Tribolium castaneum: one gene and its partner. The protein of the gene in region 1 purifies or fractionates together with the protein of each later gene. This does not show direct contact. Links are inferred from orthologs where the notes say so. Each region holds a gene or a part of one and is shown on either strand. Other genes may lie near its edges. The genes, in order: Not10 and Not1.

Region 1 (4,429 bases):
CCAATCAAAATGCTTACAAATTTTACAATTACGTGCCTAATTTTACGTTAATTCATAAAATAATGGGTCTGTCTTTGTCGCACATTCTCACTTTTTCTATTCATTCTACCCCTCTGTGCAATATTGAAGAATCTGCTAGATAAAAACAAGCAAAACTGAGACACTGATAGGAAATAAATAACGAATATCAAATGCATATTAGATGAAAAGTCTTTTATTTTAGTCAAGAAAGGGATCCTCGTTGAAAATCATTGCGCATGCGCGCGCTCTTTTCAATTTGACGTATGACATTTCGAAAATGATTCTAAAAAATCCAACAAATAAAACGAAACTCTGTAGAAAATGTCTTAGGTAATTTAAAATGCGAAAGGGGGACAAGCGGCATGTAAACATGTAAGTAGTTTTTAAATGTAAGAGCAGTTAAATTAATCAATTACATTTCGCTAAATTGGACTGAAAATTGGACGTTTTTTATAAAACCGTCCTGAAAATGACATCATTTTGTCAATATAGTTCTTTGTTTGCACATTTTTTTGTAGAAACGCAATTATTATTTCGCTAAAGTTTGTGAAAAATAAGCATAAAAGTCGCCGAATAGTGTCACTTTTGCGTTTAGGTTTTTCATGAAAAAACTCAATAATATCGCACAACTCTGTTATTAAAAATTACTCAACAAGTCAGAGAGTTGGGATGAAAATAATTTAATTGTTCTTATTTTATTTGGTCAATTATTATTTATGTAAAGATTAATTATTCATAATTATTTAGAGAATCTTTTGGTAGTTGCAACTTGAAAAAACAGAGTAAAAAACATGTTTCGCATTTTTTTTTAATCCAATATCTTATCCCGAAGGTACCTACTGATTTATTGTATAAAAAAAAGATGCAATTTTTCTTTTGTGTATTTAGTCTAGTTCGCATTCAATCAAAAATTCTTCAAAAATAAAACAAAGCTTAACGAAATATTGTTTTACGTTCTTCAAGTCTTTAGACCTTTTAAACCAACGTCTTAGACTTTTGTGAGATCTCGTTAAACAGTCAGAAAAATTAAGACGATAACTGTGGTCGACGTAACATACATTATTTTCACCTTTCTCGATATAGTTATTGTTGCCAACTTAATCATAGGTCACTTTGATCAGAAATTTCGTACAAATTCTCCGAAACCAGACATAAAACTAAAAAAAAATTTTCATTCCCTTACCTCTTTAGTGGCCATAATACAACACTCAGCTAAGCGCATCCACAACCTCGCGTTTCTGTGGTACCTCCGCACTGCAATTATCAAGCAATCAAACGCCTGAACCGGCCTCTTGGCATGAAGAAGAGAAACTCCCAAATTATACATCAATTCGTGGTATTTTGAGCCACCCAGTGCATACAAGGGTTTGTCATCCATGCCTTTGTCTTTTTTTGCATTGTTTGTTAAAGCTATATCCTCCTTGAGGGCTAACTGAAAGTAGTGGCAAGCCAAGTTGGGTTTGCCCATTGCGTGATGAATCACACCCATATTGTTGTAAAACATCAAAGTTGAAGATTCGCCGCTGTCGCTAAATAAATTCAAATGCAAAAAAATATTAAAAAAATATAGAATTTTACTTGTAGACCAGATAATCGGGTGGTACAGCCGCAAGAAGTTTCTGGGACTCTATCAAGTTTCCTTTGAGGTATTCTAAATTAGCTGCCAGGAACAAGGCTTGGAAATTCTGTTTGTCTTTTAGCAAATTGCTGATTTCTTTGTTTGCGATTTCGAGATTGTGGTTCATTAGGTAACAACGGATTTTGTATTTAATTAGTTTTTTCTTAAACTCTTCCATTGCTGGGTCTAGGGGCTGTGGCGCTTTCTTGTCTTTCTCTTTAACGGTTTTGTCCAACAATTTGATGTTTGGCGTCCCGTTGATTAATTGATTTTCCAGATAATTTATTAAACTGAGCGCTTTATCAGACTGACGCACACATAGCTGTAACTCAATGGCAAAAAGACTAACTTGTTTGGCTAATGCGTCATCTGTAACAAAGTAAATTAAAAACAAACAGTCACGTTGGAAAAATTGTACCCATTGGTTCAATAAATTTGTACACTCGATCCATTATGTAAATTGCATTAGTGTACTGTTGTTGATGATATAACAGAATGGCCTGATTATAATGAACAATGCATTGGTCCACATCATCTAATTTATCGAGACGAATCTTAAACTAAAAGTTAATGAGCCTTATTAAAAGATTCCCACCAGGAGGACGACTGTAATACTTGATTGCAAATTGAGGTTAAATTCTTTTGAAATGTTTCGTTCTTCCTAAAATCGCTTTTGCAATATTCCACAAGAGCTTTATTGTGGGCCACTTTAAAATCGTTAGTTCTATTGTCCAGTTTATTGATAAATTGGAGCGCACCGGCGTAATTATTTCTACAAAAGGGTCAATAGTTTTCGTTTTTTTTGGAAGCCTTAAACATACTTTTTAAACTCATTCAAAGCCTTTTGTGCATATTCCTGCTCCTGCTCTGTTACAACGTCCACAGCTCGTTCAAACTCTTCTTTCTCAGCCATTGTATTTATTGGATTTTTTGCAAACACAGGCACTACTTTTTTATTCACAAGCTTTCTATAAGTGAGGTTATGTAACAATAAACCCGACTTTCACTACTGTAAAAAACCTACGGATCGTAAAATTTACGTTAATGGAAGTTTAAGTTCGTTGTTATATTTCTGTGAAATAATTCAAATCTTTAGTTCCAAAAAATTTTCGAAAAAAAATTTTTTGACAGGTCAGTGGCGACTCGTGAAGTCCAAGATTTAAATTTTGAATACACGAAAATACCACAGAAAAAATTTGATCGTTTTTCGGCTTTAAATGTCGTCTGAATTATTTGATCATCAATGAGTGTAAACTTTGCAAGAAATTTGAAAAAATCCTGTAAAAATTCATACAAGTTGGCCAACCGAATGTGATTTGCTAGTAACAATTCTAGTGTTTTTTTCTCCCTGAATGAAATTGACATTTGGGAGGCAATCCGTGTTGCCTACCCGTTTATTTATTTAGTTCAAGATCGCCTCTAATTTATTCCGTATGCTGTCGTATTTCTAAAATTAGTGCCAGAAACAGATTTTCTCGAATTGCACAGTCATACGGCGGCGTTTAATCAAATCCCGGCGGATGATGGAAGGGGCAGCTACTCCGGTCGCTGAGGGGCCACCCGAAGAGGCAATTAAGCCAATTGGCTGCTCCCATTACAAAAGAAAATCCAAATTCGTGGTGAGTTTTTGCTAGAACAGACCGTCCGGCCAATGTTGTTTATTGAGTTTAATTGAATTAGCGCCAATTATTGACTCAATCACGTCGTGTTTTCTTTTCAAGACTCCGTGCTGCAAGAAAGTGTACACTTGTCGGTTCTGTCACGACGAAAAGGAGGATCACTCAGTGAACAGGAAAGAAGTCACGGAGTTAATCTGCACGATATGCGAGAAAAGGCAGCCTGTTCAAGCAGAGTGTCAGAACTGTGGCATCAGATTTGGCAAAGTAAGTCCGTGGGAAATGATTCTGATGCAATTTAAGCGCCTGTTTCAGTACACTTGCTTGGAGTGCAATCTTTTCGACGATGAAGACAAGAACCAGTTCCATTGCTCTGGCTGTGGCATTTGCAGGATTGGGGGCTCGGACAAATTTTTCCATTGCGAGAAATGCAACATGTGCCTGCCAATCCAGCTCAAAAACGGGCATAAAGTAAGGGTGAAAAATATCAAACTCATGTAAACACCATTCCAAAATTAAACGCTGCGCATGCGTGTGTAGACTAGATTTCAGCCGTGTAAGACATCCGAACTTGTTTTTGCAGTGTGTGGAGAACGTATCGCGCGCCAATTGTCCTGTCTGTCTTGAGGACATCCATACTTCCAGAATTCCATGCCATATTCCAATGTGTGGCCATTTGTTACACCGCACTTGTTTCAACCAATTACTCAAAGCGGGACATTATGCTTGTCCCATATGTCAGACGTCCCTTATGGATATGACCCAGTTGTGGAAGTATCTTGATAATGAAGTTGCTCATACGCCAATGCCGCCACAGTATAACTGTTATTTAGTGCAAATTTTATGCAAGGATTGTCATAAGGTGATATGGTAAAATTGTATGGCTTGTTGTAACTTTGACTCATTTAGGAAGGAACTGTAAAGTTTCACGTGATTGGTTGCAAGTGTATTCATTGCGGTTCTTACAATACTTGTCGGATTAAGGGGCCGTTTAAGCCGTCAGGTTGGTATTAAAGTTTTTGAAAAAAAAATGTAATGTTGGTTGTAGGGAGGAATAGGCAAAACAGTTCAAGTCAAGCACAGTCTCTTCAGTATGAAAACGACGATGACGGTCCATCTAGCTCAAGTGCTCAAGAATCATGAAATTATTATCATTAGACGTCGATTCCATTAC
Region 2 (4,589 bases), on another chromosome or scaffold:
GACTGTTTGAAGGACCAGCACCCAAAATCCGCGAAGGAGACCCGGGAGACTGCACTAGCGGCCCGAGTCCCCCTTGCAAATTAAACGCCGAACTAGTGGGCCCCGACATTGTCATGCTGGCCAAATTCGTGGTCAAACCGGGAATAGTATCGACAGCAGAGTGGTTGTAAAGCTGTCCCGACATTGCCGAAACACTGAACGGGCCTTCAACGCCCCTGGACCTAACAAGAGCCGGCTGTTGACGCGATTTCAGTAAAATACTGCAACCGGTGGTGACGTTGATTATCGCCTCTTGGCACTCGGGACTGACGCTGTTCATGCAAGATTGCAAACAAATCATAATCGTGGTCAAAGTTTCGTTGGGTAGGGACGAAGCTTTGGTCATAGCGTCGTCACTTTTGCCCAGGATTTGCGGGCAACGGCGGTGCAAAAACTTGACGCAAGCTTGGACAAAAGGCTCGCCGTGTTCTCTGATTTTATCCGAGAGCCACTTTTCCAGCTTGAGGTACTCACGTCTGGATGCAAGACAAGCCAAGTCGATGATGAACGGATAAGATTGTTGGTTTTGGGCGTTTAGGAGCATTGAGAGGGCTTTCAGGTCTTGGGCAACGTCCAGAATTCGGGACAGTCTCGTTTGATCGCAGTCGCTTCGCACATACCATTCGGCCATGGCATGCATTATTATGGATTTGATATTGATGTTGGTGGTGTGCCAGGCATGGTGTAGTATTATGGCAGAGTTTGGGTGATTCAGGAGAAAGATTGGGATCAAGTTGGAGAGTAATTCTTGTCTGAGGAGCGTTACAGGCCCTTGTATTTGTAACAATGCGAGGACTAAGACATCAGGACAGTTGTGCATTGGATATTTGAACAGTTCTTGAACGTAAGTGAACAAGCCACATTCAGACATGTGCAGGAGCAACTCGACCAGATTTAACGATCTCCAATTGGCCAGTTCCTTGCTGTCTTGTTCCGGTGGTGTTTTGAGAACGTCAACACTGACGGTCATCGCGGGATAGTCAGCAAAACAGAACACATCTGGATTTTTGAGAACATGTTGAACGAGACTGAACTGCCCCTCGACGTTCGTCCATCTCTTATAAAATTGGTCAATTGGAAAAGTTTCCGGGTGGAATCCCAGCGTCTGGAGGCCATGTCGAAGTGCACTTATTAGAATAATGAGTCCTTGTCTATCTTTAATAATAAATTCGGGATGGTCCAACTCGGCCACAGTGTTGGCCCATTGAAAGTTCGGCACGACCTCTTTCAACGCCTGGACGAAAACCTCCACGTTCCAAGTGCGCCCCTCATTGCCCTTATTAAAACTGCCTGGCGATTGTAGACTGAGTGAATCTTCAAGGCCACTGTGTGTTCGGCACATAACGGTAAGGATCCGAGCGACTGTTGCAGGGGTGATGTCGCGTCCCCCAAGCTTCATCAAGTTGTTCCGACATTCTTCCACCGACGAAGTAAAACCGAAACCGATCTCAGCCACCAGATCGGCCAGCGAAGTCTCTAACATGCCCCCGGATAAACCGGGGCCTTCGGATGACATTTCCGGCGACAATTCACAATGTTCGGGGTAAACTAACGGTGCTAACACTACGGGAACGAGGTCTTTGGGGAAGTCGCGCTGGAGAGTGTCGAGAAACGCCCGGTGCGCGTTGTTGGTGAGCCCAACGTCTTTGGGGGCTTTCAGAACAGCGGAGAGGATCAAGTGGAGGACCTCGGGGGTGGTCTCGTGGAGGCCCCCTTCGTGCTGGCGGGTGCTGCCTTCAGTCTCGATATACGACTGGATGAGAGTCGGAACCGTTAACCGTAAATGTGCCTGGGCTAAAGACGAAACTTCCTGGTTTGAAGAGTGGCGAAGGGCGAGAGCGAAAACGACTTCCTGGACAGCTGAGAGGCGAAGGCACTTGCTCAACTGCTGGAAGAACTGGGGTCCGAATTTGAAAGCCTGTAACGGAACCGCTGCAGAAAAAGTGACCCACCGAAGCGGTTTTGTTACCTTGTTGGTGCTCAATGGATTGTCTGTGATGTAGCAAACAGACGTCAGCAGCGAGGGTTTGTTCAACAAGTTCGAACACTGCTCTAACAATGCTTGATTTTGGGGAGATGGAGCGGTTATTTTGCTTGTAGATTCAGAAAAGTCCACTGATGAAAATAGACATTGGAGCAAGTGACGGTCCGCCTCCAGACCATGCAAAGTTACCAACTATAAAACGAACGTTTGATCAAATTTAAAAGCTGTTTAAGTGATAAGAAGCACTCTGATAATCTGAATGACATTTTGCAAGAACGTGAACGAAAAAAATAATAACAATCAAAACACCTTTGTTCACCACAACATTGCTCGATCGGTAACTGTGCGTGACAGCTGGCATGGAAAAGATGGCCGATTTGTCAATCTGATAATTTTAGTCCACGCATTTGCAACGGTTCAAATTTTCCGCTACTCTTACCTTTGAGAGTTCGGCAACGACTTGCTTGTAGTTCTTTTTGGTTAATGATGCAACTAAATAACTTATTTGTGACAAGGTAAAAGACAACGAGTCTAGGTTCATAGTTCCATGAACACGGCCTCGAAAGCTTCAAATACTTTTGAAGCTTTCTTAGGTATGCACGGGGCTTTTATCCACAAAGTCTTATGTATTTTTGAAAAACAACTAAATTTTAAATGGTCCAAGACCATCATCGAATCTTTAATGTACTTTTCACCACTTTAATTTACCAGAATCATCTTTTGACTCACGCAACACACAACACATGCATCGAATAAAACATATGTATGAAACTACGCATGACCAACAACGAGCTCACTATCCTGAGGGGATGTGTGGTTATAGTTACGTGTATTTTGATTATTTTTCCAGAAAAGACGCGCAAAAAAAAACTACACCACCCGGAACACGCACGAAAATGGCAGGAAAACGTCAACTTTTCACATGTGCTTCGAAAGCCGAAGAAAACTAATGATCCGAATTTGAAACTGCAGCGGCACCTCACGTCATGAACGGTAAGTTCTACCCGCTCTTTTCACCCGAATTCAAAATAAAAACGTTATCTCCATTTACTTATCGCATGTTATCTTATCACTCAGTGTGAATAAAGGACAGATAAAAATAAAACGAACTGGCAAAGATATATTTCTTTATTTCTTAACTGTTCAAAATACAAATTGTAATTAAAACATGTAGAATATTGAAAATGAAGATGAAGCTTTCAGGATTTGCTATGCCTCTCAGCAACTATTTTCTTCATCTTTTCCTTATAAATATTTTCTATTAATTGAATCTGGAATAGAGATTGATTAAATAAACAAGAAATGCGTTACACGTAGCATGTTATTACCTCTCGGTCATTTAAAACCATTTTTTTCAGGACATTTTTCACGTTCTTGTTGGTCTGCTTTTCAATTTTTGTTGCATTATACATATACGCTTCCAAAAGGGACGCCCATCGCTTGTTTAAATCCTGTAATAAAACGATGAATTGCTCTTACTTGAAGAAAAAATCGGTACCTCAAAAGCTTTTTTATGGTTCGTGGCCAGTTTGTTATACTTGTCCAGAACCGCGATGTTGCTACTTTTATACGTTTTGCACTCCTGGATGAGGATGTGCAAGCGCTTGGCTAACTCAATGTTTTCCTTTTCTAAAGTTTCCATCTTACGCCCACATTCCTCCAAAACTGCAGCAAACTGTTTGCGATAATTTGCTTCCTGAATCTTCCACTTTTCCTTCTCCTTGTGATACAAATCGGACCGCTGTTGAATGACTTTCTTGTATTCCTCTTCGATTTTTTCCATTTTCTTTGAATTTTCTTCTTGCAACCGATCACGCAACAACAATTCGGTTTTCAAGAGCTGTGCTTGCAAACATTTTTGAAACACGTCGCTGGTCACAACTACAAGTTCAGGGATAGGAGTAGTAAATTTAAAACACAAACCTACTATCGCTGTTTCTTTTATCTTGTTCCAAACCACTTTCAACGTCTGACAACTCTTTGAATAACTTTTTCCGCACCACATCTTCATTTACTCCATTGACTGTCTTTTGCAAGTCTATGGTCTCCTGTTTTGCATCATTCAGCTGCTTCTGAGTGTTTTCCAGTTGTTTTTCAATCTCTAATTTATTTTGTTCCATCACTTTAATACATTTTTTATAATTGAGAATTTCGTCTTTCAATTTTTGAATAGTGTGCCCATTATCTACCGATTCTTTCAACAAATTGTTCCTGTTTTCAGTCAAAGCAGCAATTTCCTTTTTCATTTCGGCAATTTCATTAGTGCAGCGCCTCAGCTCATAGTCTAGGGCAAATTTTTCACCCTCTAACATAGTTTTGGCGTTTGTAAGGTCATCAACAGTGTCTTTCAATTCGGAATTTTTCACACCGTGTGTGAAACTCTCAATAAAATCGCTCAACATGTTGTCCCAAAGTTCCAGTTTTTCTCGGATTTGTTTAGCTTCGAGTTTATCGACGTGGAACGAATTGAGAAAATTTTGCACGTCTTTCTTCATCTTGTGAATAATTCCAAAATTTGTCCTTCTGGGACTTGTGGCTTCCAGATGGGCAAGAATGTGCTGCAACT

What was found.
Region 2: the proteins of Not10 (region 1) and Not1 purify together in Homo sapiens (affinity purification with mass spectrometry; 4 studies listed by BioGRID and IntAct, with this or other methods). This does not show direct contact. The link is inferred for Tribolium castaneum from reciprocal best matches to the Homo sapiens genes CNOT10 and CNOT1.

The regions. Positions count from the first base shown.
Region 1 is NC_087396.1:15,622,041-15,626,469, reverse strand, and holds the start of Not10 (CCR4-NOT transcription complex subunit 10), read right to left. Parts: upstream 2,811-4,429; 5' UTR 2,664-2,810; exon of another isoform or gene 2,608-2,663; 5' UTR 2,553-2,607; coding exon 2,461-2,552; intron 2,412-2,460; coding exon 2,255-2,411; intron 2,200-2,254; coding exon 2,058-2,199; intron 2,009-2,057; coding exon 1,600-2,008; intron 1,551-1,599; coding exon 1,205-1,550; intron 1-1,204. Other genes in the region: Rchy1 (RING finger and CHY zinc finger domain-containing protein 1), read left to right, coding at 3,160-3,258, 3,361-3,522, 3,571-3,726, 3,839-4,117, 4,165-4,258, 4,304-4,398. UniProt on the Homo sapiens protein: Component of the CCR4-NOT complex which is one of the major cellular mRNA deadenylases and is linked to various cellular processes including bulk mRNA degradation, miRNA-mediated repression, translational repression during translational initiation and general transcription regulation.
Region 2 is NC_087394.1:30,458,468-30,463,056, forward strand, and holds the start of Not1 (CCR4-NOT transcription complex subunit 1), read right to left. Parts: upstream 2,880-4,589; 5' UTR 2,565-2,879; coding exon 2,463-2,564; exon of another isoform or gene 2,398-2,462; intron 2,216-2,397; coding exon 1-2,215. Other genes in the region: putative leucine-rich repeat-containing protein DDB_G0290503, read right to left, coding at 3,223-3,294, 3,352-3,474, 3,522-3,904, 3,951-4,589.